3 linked regions of the Pelodiscus sinensis genome follow. The protein of the gene in region 3 purifies or fractionates together with the protein of the main gene of each other region. This does not show direct contact. Links are inferred from orthologs where the notes say so. Each region holds a gene or a part of one and is shown on either strand. Other genes may lie near its edges. The genes, in order: YAF2, NKAPD1 and CSNK2B.

Evidence for each region.
Region 1: the proteins of CSNK2B (region 3) and YAF2 purify together in Homo sapiens (affinity purification with mass spectrometry; 5 studies listed by BioGRID and IntAct, counting the BioPlex papers as one, with this or other methods). This does not show direct contact. The link is inferred for Pelodiscus sinensis from reciprocal best matches to the Homo sapiens genes CSNK2B and YAF2.
Region 2: the proteins of CSNK2B (region 3) and NKAPD1 purify together in Homo sapiens (affinity purification with mass spectrometry; 3 studies listed by BioGRID and IntAct, counting the BioPlex papers as one, with this or other methods). This does not show direct contact. The link is inferred for Pelodiscus sinensis from reciprocal best matches to the Homo sapiens genes CSNK2B and NKAPD1.

Annotation. Positions count from the first base shown.
Region 1 is NC_134711.1:53,360,486-53,364,231, reverse strand, and holds the start of YAF2 (YY1-associated factor 2), read left to right. Parts: upstream 1-1,391; 5' UTR 1,392-1,756; coding exon 1,757-1,782; intron 1,783-2,016; coding exon 2,017-2,142; intron 2,143-3,746. UniProt on the Homo sapiens protein: Binds to MYC and inhibits MYC-mediated transactivation. Also binds to MYCN and enhances MYCN-dependent transcriptional activation. Increases calpain 2-mediated proteolysis of YY1 in vitro.
Region 2 is NC_134736.1:6,939,083-6,942,828, forward strand, and holds the start of NKAPD1 (uncharacterized protein NKAPD1), read left to right. Parts: upstream 1-823; 5' UTR 824-947; intron 948-1,028; exon of another isoform or gene 1,029-1,684; intron 1,685-1,863; 5' UTR 1,864-1,871; coding exon 1,872-1,940; intron 1,941-3,610; coding exon 3,611-3,711; intron 3,712-3,746.
Region 3 is NW_027466017.1:275,868-279,613, reverse strand, and holds the start of CSNK2B (casein kinase II subunit beta), read left to right. Parts: upstream 1-1,002; 5' UTR 1,003-1,053; coding exon 1,054-1,123; intron 1,124-2,104; exon of another isoform or gene 2,105-2,240; intron 2,241-3,282; coding exon 3,283-3,365; intron 3,366-3,554; coding exon 3,555-3,657; intron 3,658-3,746. UniProt on the Homo sapiens protein: Regulatory subunit of casein kinase II/CK2.

The sequences.
Region 1 (3,746 bases), on a different chromosome or scaffold from region 3:
GATCTTCAGCCTACATTTTCCTTTTCTTAATTTCACCTCATTATTCCCAGCTAAAATTCTTTTTTTTTTTGCAATGTTCAGAAAAGGAACAACATTCTTCATGGGTTTTTTTATGCTGTTAGGCACATTTTATTTGTACTTAATCTATGAATACAAATATTAATGTTGTTTGTAACCTTGCATCTAATCTAGATCTTATATGAATTTGTATCTGCATCTATCACAATAGTACCAGTGTCTGAACATTTCTGAGGTTAATTGACTGGTATAGCAAGGTATCTCATGGTACTTCTTGGAGTTTTCTACTTTTCTCCTAACCTGGTTATGACAGCACTGCATGGGATACAGGTTTTTTTTTCTTTGAGGGCGGGGTCTAATTATTGTGGTAAATGTTACTCTATGATAATATGGAAGCTTTATGAAAGAGGAAAGGTCTTGAAGCTGTAAGATTCTGGATTAAATTATTCTCTTCTGAAATTTTGTTCCACAACCAGATCTCCTCATCAGAAAATGCCCCATTTCTGGCTCTCATAATTTTTTATCCTGAGCTTTGATCAGCATTGTTCCAGTGGAATGTAGCTATACTAGTAATTCATAGATGGAAATGTAATCGCTAATGTACTTAGGACCTTGAGTTGCCAAATTTGGTTGGACATATTCCTGGAGATTTCATCACATAACATAATCTTTAATTAAAAATTAATCTTGAATTCCCGGAGACTCCAGGACAATCTTGGAGGGTTGATAACCCTAGTAAGACCAGATCCATGAATGGCTTTCAACAGCATGCCCACGGCTTTGGACTGGCAATGAAAATAGACCAATAACTAGTGTTGCTGTGGCCTAATCTGCGGAGAAAGTGTGCTGCCTCATTCTGTACCACCTGTTAGCATTGTTCATATTTATATTCAGTTATCCAGTTTGGAGCTGATGAATGAGGCCAGGACCCTGACACAGAGGAAGAGATGTGGTTTGAAGAGATGAAAGGAAGAGGCCTTCTGGATCAGTCCTGCCTTTATGAGGATTGGGCACACTCTTGCCTTGTGTGTAATTTACATATCATCCTAGGTGAGATGGCATATTGATTTACGTGCAACAGGAACGTGGTTCGTGCAATAGGAAAGTGGTTCTGTCATATCTGTCAGCACATGCACGTTGCATCTGCAATATATCAAAACAGGCACGGCCTGTATGAAATACATATGTCATTGCTGCAGAGGGGATCTGTCTCTCAGCCCGCCTGGCAGCTTGCTTGCCATGTGCTGTTAGGCAAGCTGTTACAGGCGCAGGAGACAACACAATGGCCGGGGGACCCCCACGCCGTCACTCCCCGCAGGGCGGGGACCCCTAGCCCGCACACGGGGGCGGGGGTGGCTGGCCCAGCACACACACGAGCTCCCATCCCGTTGCCCCCTCCAGCCAGCCAGCGCGCGCGCTGTGGGGCGAGCGACGAGGGCTGCGCCGCCGCCTCAGCAGCTCGCCGCCCGCTCCCCTCAGGCCGGCTGGCGCCGCCAGCAGATGCGAACCTGCCGCCTCGCGCTGCCGGGGGCTCGGAGGGCTGCGGGCGGCCGCTGGTTGGCGGCGGGGGGACACGTGAGGGAGGAGGGGGCGGCGGGCGGCAGAGGGAGCCGGAGTTTCCCCGACAGCTGGAGGTTGCGGCGGCGGCTCCTCCTCCCCGCTCGAGCCAGGGCCCCCCGCGCTCCTCCTTATTTACAAACACACAAAGGGCCGGGCCGGGGACGCGTCTGCAGCCGGCATGGGAGACAAGAAGAGCCCGACCAGGTAAGGGCGGCGCGGAGGCCTGGCGCCGGCAGCGCCCGCGCCCTGGATTAGCGGCGCCTCCTGGCCGGGCCCGACCCTGCGCCGGGAGCAGCGGCGAGCCGGCTCGGCCGTGCAGCGGCCATGGCGGCCGCGGGAGCCGGGCTGCAGCGGGGGCGGTCGGGCCGGGCTGCGAGCGGGGCCTGACCCACCGCCCCCGCCTGTCCCCCCCTCCCCCCCGGGTTGTGTGTGTTGCAGGCCGAAGCGGCAGCCGAAACCCTCCTCGGACGAGGGCTACTGGGACTGCAGCGTGTGCACCTTCCGGAATAGCGCCGAGGCCTTCAAGTGCATGATGTGCGATGTGAGGAAGGGCACCTCCACTCGGTGAGTGTCCGGACACCCTGACCCGGCGCGCAGCAGCCCCGGGGTGCCAGGGAGCCGGCTGCTGCAGTAGGAACTAGGTCAGGTTTATGGGGGATCCCGTCGCCCGTGGGCTGTAGGGACAGGGACCAGAAATGCTGCAGCGTTTGCTCCCAGACTCATTTAACCCTTTGGCTCTAGCAGCTAAGAGGCATTTTCCTTTTATAAAATTAACAGAATACGTGTCCAGACACTAGCTGAAATCCTCTCGAAGGGGAGAGAAGGTGAGTTCCCTTCATTGCAAGGAGCTCCTGGGGCTTAACTGGCATCTTATTGTGCTTGCATTAGGTTTTGTTTTCTATGTTAAAGTACAATAGCATATGCAAGGTAACACTTTTGAAATACAATGCCGATAGGGTTTATTAATCTAATTATGAAAATAATTTTGTGCAGCATAAAATGAGGTGTTTTTATAAATTAAAATGTGAAAATATGGTCTCTACAAAGTACAATGTGTTAATCTTCCATTTTTTCATGGTGGGTCATCAATATGCTATTTCATCTAAAGCATTTGCTTCTATTATCATTGATTTTTCTTTATGAAGTAGCTTAATTCAATTTCCTCAAAAATCCCAAACAAAAATCCCTAAATCTTATTTATTTCTATGTTTAATGTTAAAGAACTATCCTGTTTTTTTCAATCCCACCTTAGAGATTTATTCTCTCTACAGAGGTGATTCCCTGCTACTACTTTTTCAAAGGGAATGTAAATTAGCTGAGTTTTTTAATACAGTGAAGTCAGTCTGGAAATCACTGACATCTCAGAGTAAACCTTTTCCGTAGAACATCATAAACATCCTGAGAATCATTTGGATCCAACATGTTTGTATAGTTCTATTATTATGGGTTAGAACAGAGGTAATCAGTTATTTTTTGTTAGGGTTCACATTTCTTTGTCAAGGTCCAAACTACAGAGAAAATAATAATCAGTTTCCGCTCCCCAGTAAATAAGAAGATTTTTTGGCCTATTCAAAAGCATTTGGCCCACATCTACTTCTGGGTTAGAACACGCTCTAAAGGATGGATAATTTTATAAAACCAACAAGTGTGCAACTGTGGAGTCTTTTGCACATTAGCATAAGAAAATAACATGTGCTTTTATTTATTATTATTATTAGTATTAGTATTATTTATGTATTATATCTTGTCAATCCTGTTAGCAAAAGAGATATGCCACAGTCTTTTATTAAGAGTTATAAGAGCTTTATTACAAACATAAAACATAATAATACTGGATACGATTTTTGCAATGAATTTATTGTAAATTAATGTTCAAATAATTCAGGAATAGACTTGTTCTCTCTTTTGATGATGTATATTTGTAAAAAAGATTTTTAAAAATATTTTTTCAAAACTAACTTTAAATTTATTAGAGAGTTCGTAGAATGACTTGTCTTTATGATAGCAGTCAGGTTCATAACCTTTTGACATTTACTTATCATACTATGTTTTCCAGTACTAAAAATGAGGCTAGATTTCTACTTAACTTGGTTTTTCAGTTTTCAGAGAATTTAATAGAATTATACATCTTTATTGAAGCTAGGTGAGTGAGGTAATACCTTTTACTA
Region 2 (3,746 bases), on a different chromosome or scaffold from region 3:
CCCCGAGCTGCCCCCTTGGCCCCCATCCCAGTGCCCCGAGCTGTCCCCTTGGCCCCCATCCCAGCGCCCCGAGCTGCCCCCTTGGCCCCCATCCCAGCGCCCCGAGCTGTCCCCTTGGCCCCCATCCCAGCGCCCCGAGCTGCCCCCTTGGCCCCCATCCCAGCGCTCCGAGCTGCCCCTTGGCCCCCATCCCAGCGCCCCGAGCTGCCCCCTTGGCCCCCATCCCAGCGCCCCGAGCTGTCCCCTTGGCCCCCATCCCAGCGCCCCGAGCTGCCCCCTTGGCCCCCATCCCAGCGCCCCGAGCTGTCCCCTTGGCCCCCATCCCAGCGCCCCGAGCTGCCCCCTTGGCCCCCATCCCAGCGCCCCGAGCTGCCCCTTGGCCCCCATCCCAGCGCCCCGAGCTGCCCCTTGGCCCCCATCCCAGCGCCCCGAGCTGCCCCCTTGGCCCCCATCCCAGCGCCCCGAGCTGTCCCCTTGCCCCCACCCCAGCGCCCCGAGCTGTCCCCTTAGCCCCATCCCAGCGCCCCGAGCTGCCCCTTGGCCCCCATCCCAGCGCCCCGAGCTGCCCCTTGGCCCCCATCCCAGTGCCCCGAGCTGGCCCCTTGGCCCCCATCCCAGCGCCCCGAGCTGCTCCAAGGCCCCGACTCTAATGCCCCGAGCTTCCCGCTGGCCTCCACCCTAGCCCGGAGCTCCGAGCGGCCCTTTGCTCCCTTCCCCCTCACGCGCCACACAGCTCCTACCTCGCGACACCAGAAGCCGTTTCCATAACAACCGACGTGAGAAAAACCGGAAGTGGAAGTGACGTTAGCCCTCCAATCCTTGCGTTCCTTACTGGGTCCCTAGGTCCCGCCTCCGGTTCGGGCCCTCCGCAGCCGGGTGCGTCCGGTGGAAGCACTTCCGGGTCACGCACTTCCGGGCTGGGGGGAGTAGTCCCCCTCCCTCCGCGGGTGAGAAGGGCGTTGGGTCGGGAGGGGGGCTGAGCTGGGGGAGGGACCTGGGGCTTCTGGGGGAGGATGTGAGGAGGGGGTCTTGGGGGGGGGGGGGGCAGAGGATTGCGGGGGGGGGTCCTCCCCAGGTCTGACTGGATCTGTGCCCCCCCCCCATATGCCCAGCGCTGTGGCAGCCACTCACTGCCCCACGCTCCCTGCCGGCTGGCGCTGCCTCCGCTTCCCCCATCACGGCCCCCAGCCTGGCTCCACGTGTGGCTGCTGATGGGTCCCAGGCGGGCTGGTGTTTTGGGTCGAAGCCCATTTCCCTAGACCTCCCTCCCCTCTTCCCGCTTTCCGGGAGGCCTCTTTATTTTCCACCCTAACATGCTGCGAGCTGTCAGCTAGCTGCTGGCTGACACCACGGGGGGGCTGCATTGAGCTGGGCGGTGAATGGCTGTATCTGTAGGGCCTGGGTCTCTCCTCATGTTCGTTTTTCACCAGCATAGCTCCGTTGGTTTCAGCGCAGTCTCATCTGACTTGTGCGGAGCGAGGTAAGCGCAGGATCAGATCCACCACGTGAAAGGTGATCAACATGGACATTAGACTAATAAATACTTTGTTTCCCGCTTCTCATTGATATGTGCGATACGAGATACAGAGGTTTATCAGGAACTCTGAACGTGGGCATCAGTTACTGCATGATCCTTTCTAAGCCCTGTATGTGAAGAGTGGCTCTAAGAAGTCTTCGTTTTGGGGTAATGCAGTGTTTTCTTAGGGAACACAAATGTCAGCCTGAGTCAATAACATGTTTTCTGTCATACAGGTGGAAAAAAATTGCTTTTAAGCTTTGTCTCAGTCCTGACGAGCATTTTCTGCATTAAAGAGTCTTATATGTGATTCTCTAATTGCTTTCTTTTTTGTGAATTCTATGAAGGTTAAAGAATGTCCCGGGTCCCTTTAGGAAAAGTTCTCTTACGAAATGTCATTCGTCACACTGATGCACACAACAAGGTAGGGAACCATGTTCTGTCCCTTTGTTTCTCTCGCTCTGTGTTTAAAGTATGGTATCACTTCTAATTGCCCAGACCTGAAGAAACTTGTCTCTTTCACCAACAAGTTGATCCAATGAAAGATATTACCTCATCCACTTTGTCTTGCTAATACAGTCTGTCTGACTTTCCTTATCTATGTCAGAATCTGGCATTCCCTCACTTGCCGTGACATCTGTTATTTTAGTGTTGTGGTCCCAGATATGATTCTTCTAGGGGAAGCTCTTTCTTGATGCCATTGTATGGAGCTATGCTATTTTCATTTTACTGTTGCTGAATTATGGTAGCTAAATTACTTGTTCAGCACACAGGTGTATTTTTGAAGGTAGAAATTTCTACAGTGCATCTTAGGAGTCCATTGTACCTTATAGCAACTGGAACTGTACCTCTTGGGCAGGAACCAACCTGAGCCAACTCCAGGTCCAGGGCCTCTCACCTCCCTCCATGGGCAGGGTTCCAGCTTTCCCATGAGGGTAGATAAAATGAAATAACACTGTATTTCCAAAAAATAAAATGAAAAATGTATAAACTTTAAAAAAATAAATAAATCACAGTGCTCTCTTTGGGACTTAGAGAGTGCCAACGCCATCTGCTGATTTTCTGCACTGAACTGAATTTGATCCTGAATGTAGAGGTGAATTAACTGTTAGCTGAGCAAGAAATTTTTTTAAGGGGGCACCATCAGTTGAAAATCACATTTTGTGCATAAGCATAGCTCCTCTACCTACATTGCTAACAATGACATGTATGTTTACTCATCTAGATTTTCCCTCTTTAAACTCTTGTTTCATTTTTTGCTTTTCTCTCAGCTTGGGCAATTAAAGTCAGTTTTATGTGTTCATAATCAAGTTCCCTTTCAGTTGCTTAGTGCTGCCTTGTTTGGTTTGTAGGCATGGCAAGGGAATATTTGTTTACAAGTTTCATCTATTTACAAATAATGGAAGTGTTTGTCTAGCTCTGGTATCTTCGAAAAGGACTTTTTCATAATATTTACCTTTTGGGTTTGGTGATTCTTTTAATTTAGCACTTGTTAGGTTTTTGTGCTTTTGTAAAACAGGTCTCTTTGGGGATTGATCTTGACTTCAGTGCACAAGCCTGGTAAAAGATTTTGAAATTAGCCTTTCTTTACTAAAGCATTTAATTCAGCAGACGCATTTTTCCAAAGAGCACTTATCTCATATGCACCTGCGATGATGCCACATGGATAACAAAGCTACGTGAGCTAAATCTGTGTCAAAGCACTAGATGGCTGCATGTTGTATTTTCATGTGTTTAACGTGATTACTCGCTTCAACTTCAGTTCTGTAAGAGATGTGAGAGAAGAACTCCAATGAAGTGAGAGAGATTTTTGCATAGACTTGGAGGATCCACTTATATGGATCAGATTGCAGAATTAGACTCTTCACCTATAAAACCACTACAGCTAATTGTCATGATGTTTCTCCTTTTGGTTTACTTAATATAGCTAAAAAGACGCATTTATATCACTGCAAGCAGGTCAGCTTAGTTTGAAATCCATCCAGCTCAGAATTACTGACCTAGAAGAAGTGAGGTTACAGTGCCTCATAGTTGCAAAGCAACACTTCTGTGGAGCACTTAATCTTATTTTCTCATTTTCTTCATATTTTTCAGATTCAGGAAGAATCAGAAATGTGGAAAATAAGAGAGCTGGAGAAGCAGACTCAAGAGACTTACAGGTGGAAGCAAGGGAGAATATCGCCCAATACCTCTAGGTGGGACTTAATTATCTGGAAGAAATAGTCTTCTT
Region 3 (3,746 bases):
GGAGCCCGGGTCTGGGGGCGGGGCCAGCTCCTTGAGGGCGGAACCCGGGTCTGGGGGCGGGGCCAGAATCCGGAACGAGCCCCCTGGGGGCGCTGTGGGCGGGGCTAGCGCCCCAGGGGCGGGGCTAAGGGCCAGGGGGCGGGGCGAGCGCCTCGGGGAGCTGTGGGCGGGGCTAGGCCCTGGGGGCGGGGCCAGCCACACTCCCGCCCCTCCCCCCAGACGCCGTCGCGGCCCCACTCACCATAGAGACGCCGGAGGCCGCAGCAGCCGCGCGCCGCCCCCGGGGGCCAAGGGAAGGCGCATGCGCGCGAGGCCGCCGGTGGGGGGGGCAGGGGGGTTCCTGGTTCTAGGCACGCGCATGAGGGGAGCGGCTCGAACGCAGCCTCCCGCCGGCCGGTTACTCTAGGCCGCGACGAGTGACCCGCGACGCGCATGCGCAGTACATCCCCCCCCCCCCGAGGTGCGTGCGCACCGTGTTCCAGACGCGGGAAAAGCAGGCGGGGCGCGTGAGTGACGTCACGTAACGCGTCAGGCGGTGAAGGGAGGAGCCAGGCTCCTGCGCACGGGAGCCCAGTGAAACCGAGCCAGGGGGCGCGCGTGCGAAACCGAAAACAGGCGCATGCGCAGCCCCGTGCTTCGAACCTAGAGGCCAGCACAGCGCATGCGCAAGGGCCCTCGCGCTCTCGCTGGCCTAGTAACGGCCACTGCCCCGCGCGCTTCCCTGCTTCTAGCGTGAGGTGCGCGGTAATCTCATTTGCATATTACCCAGCATGCCTTTCTGCCTCGAACCCAGCCAATTAGCGTCGATTTGTTCCCATTTCAATAGAATTAGATTTAATTTGGGAAGGAATTAATGACAGTAGGATCGGCTCGCAGGCGCGTGACGTCATCCCGACGTCGGTTCATTAACACACCTTCTAATTTACCTCACCCTAACCGGATTACGTCAGAAATAGCCCTACCCGCGACAGGCTAATTAACATATTTGTAATTAACCTGTAGGTCAGCGTAATTAACCCTTCATGGCCGGTACCAATTAACGTGCCGGGGCAGATGAGCACGCGGGGCGCCATGGAGTACAGCAGAGCCAGCACCCGGCGGAGCAGCACCAGCATCAAGGAGGGTAAAGGAAGCCACGCCCCCGGCGGGGAGGCCACGCCCTTTCGTGGGGGCCGGACACTCCCGGAGATGAGGCCACGCCCCCTGCGGGAAATCCCGCCTGTCCCAGTAAGGGGCACGCCCTCACGAGGGTTAGACCACGCCCATTTTGCAGGGACACGCCCGTTTAGGGGAAGCCACGCCCTCTTTGTGTTGGCCCCGCCCTTTAATATGGCAGTTACTCTGGGTGAAGTCTCACCCCATCGGGACAGGCCACGCCCATTTGCGTGCGGACACCCCCCTTTTTGGATAAGCCCCTCCCCTTCGGGTCAGGCCACGCCCATGTCTGATGGCTTTCAGGTGTCCGGGCCCCTCCCCCATGCGTCTGGCTCCGGTCTGCTCCTAAGAGACGGCGGGGGGGGGAAGACCGCTCCTCCCATTATGCTCTGCGGCCCCTCCTCTCGCCCCTCCTCTGGGCTTCGTAGTTTCCCGCTCCCCCGCCCTCCAATCCCGGCAATGAGGCTCGGGCGGCGACAGAACTACAACTCCCAAGCGGCCTTGCGGCGCCTCCCCCGGCTTCCTCCCGTCCCGCCTATCGCGTTCAAACATGGCGGCTGTAGTTCGCGCGGGGAGCTGCGGGACTACAACTCCCAGGAGGCCTTGCGGCGCCCGGCTGCGCACGCAGCCGCTTCTCTGTCTGTCATGGCGGGTGTAGTCTGTGAGCATCCTGCCGCCCGTTCGTTCTAATGGCCCTAGGGGCACTCCGGGACTACGATTCCCATGCTGCTTTGCGGCTCCGCGGGGTCCCCTCCTGCCGTACGCCCGTAGTACCGTCGGGTCCCGCTGCCCATGCGTCCCAATGCGGTTCGGGCGGCTGGAGAACTGCAACTCCCGTCGTGCATCGCGGCCTCCCATCACCCCCCGCGCCCGCTGCCCCCGCTTTGCATGGTGGGAGCGGTAGTTCCGCGCTGGCCCCGCGTCCCTGGACTCCTATGGAGGCGGCGGTGGCTGCGAACTCCATCTCCCGTCATGCCCCGCGCGCTGGGAGGGGGCCGGAAGCGAGGCCTGTGCACGTCTGGCAGCGCTTGTTTGCACTCGCTGCCGGGCACCGCCTGCTGCCGAGCGGGGCTGAGCGCGCGGGGGTGAGTGTCCTGCGCCCTGGTGCGAAGAGGGGCGGGGGGTGGACTGCCCTTGTGCAAAGGGCCGGCCGCGCCGTAGTGCAAGGGGGGGCTTCTACCCTAGTGCAAAGGGGGGGCGGGGAGTCTGCCGTAGTGCAAAGTGGGGGTGGGGGTGTGCTGTAGCACAAGGGAGGCCGGGGTGTCTGCCCTAGTGCAGTGGGGGGCGGGGGGATTTGCTCCTCGTGTAAAGAGGGAAGAGGGCCTTCTCCTAGTGCAAAGGTGGGGGGGGCTGCCCCTACTGGAAGGCATGGCGGGGGGATTTGCACCCTAGTGCAAAGAGGGGGAATTTTCACCCTAATGCAAAGGGGGGGGAGCCTGCCCTTAGAGGCCGGAGGTGATTTGCATCCTAGTGGAAAGAGGGGAGGGGGCCTAATCCAACGGGTGTAAGAGTGTGTGTTCTGTCCCCAGTGCAAAGGGTGTGTGTGTGGGGGGGGTCTGTCCCTAGCACAAAGGGGGGGGCATGTGCTCACTAGAGCGAAGGGGGCATGTGGCAGGGTCATCTGCCTTCTTAGTATCAAGCTGGGGAGGAGGGAGCTGTGCAGCGGGAGGGCAAGGGGGCCCAGACCCACACAATGATGAGCGGTCTGCCCTTGTGCAAAGAGGGGAGGAGGGTGGGGGCATTTGTGCCCCAGTGCAAAGGGGGAGTATTTATCCCTCATCTCTGCCCGTGCCATGGGAGGACGAGTTAAAGATACAATGGGGGAAGGGCCATTCACCCTTCATGCCCCACCCCAGAGCCAGCTGCATCTCAGTGCCGAGAGAGGGGTCCCTGTAGAACTGCCCCTCTCCCTCCCCGTGTCCCACCCCAGAGGGGGCGCATCTGAACGCTGTCTGAGGGGGCTGCTCCTGAGGGGGCTGCTCCTGAGGGGACACGTGAGGGGACACGTCACAGCACTGGCTGCACGGTCTGTAGTGGGAGCGGCGTGTGGGGCTGCCAGCCAAGCCCGAGCCACGTTCACCGCACACACGGGTAGCCTGACGCGCCCCCCCCCCCCCCCCTCTGCAGAGGACGGGAAGATGAGCAGTTCCGAAGAGGTCTCCTGGATTTCCTGGTTCTGTGGCCTGCGTGGAAATGAGTTCTTCTGTGAGGTGAGTGGTGCCTAGTGGTTGGAGCCAGAGTGCCTGGGTTCTCTGCCTGGCTCTGGGAGAGGAAGCAACTGGGAGCCAGGACTTGTCCTGACCATGGGAGGAGAGTGGGGTCTAGTGGTTGGAGCATGGGGGGAGGAGGGCCTGGGAGTCCGGACACCTGGGTTCTCAGCCCGTCTCCCTCCCCCGCAGGTGGATGAGGACTATATCCAGGACAAGTTTAACCTGACGGGGCTGAATGAGCAAGTCCCCCATTACCGCCAGGCGCTCGACATGATCCTCGACTTGGAGCCAGGTACTAGGTGGGGGTCCCAGGGCTGAGGAGGGGTCTCGGTCTGAGCCCCTGACCCGTCACCAGCCCCCTGCCAGCTTTGTGTGAGTCCT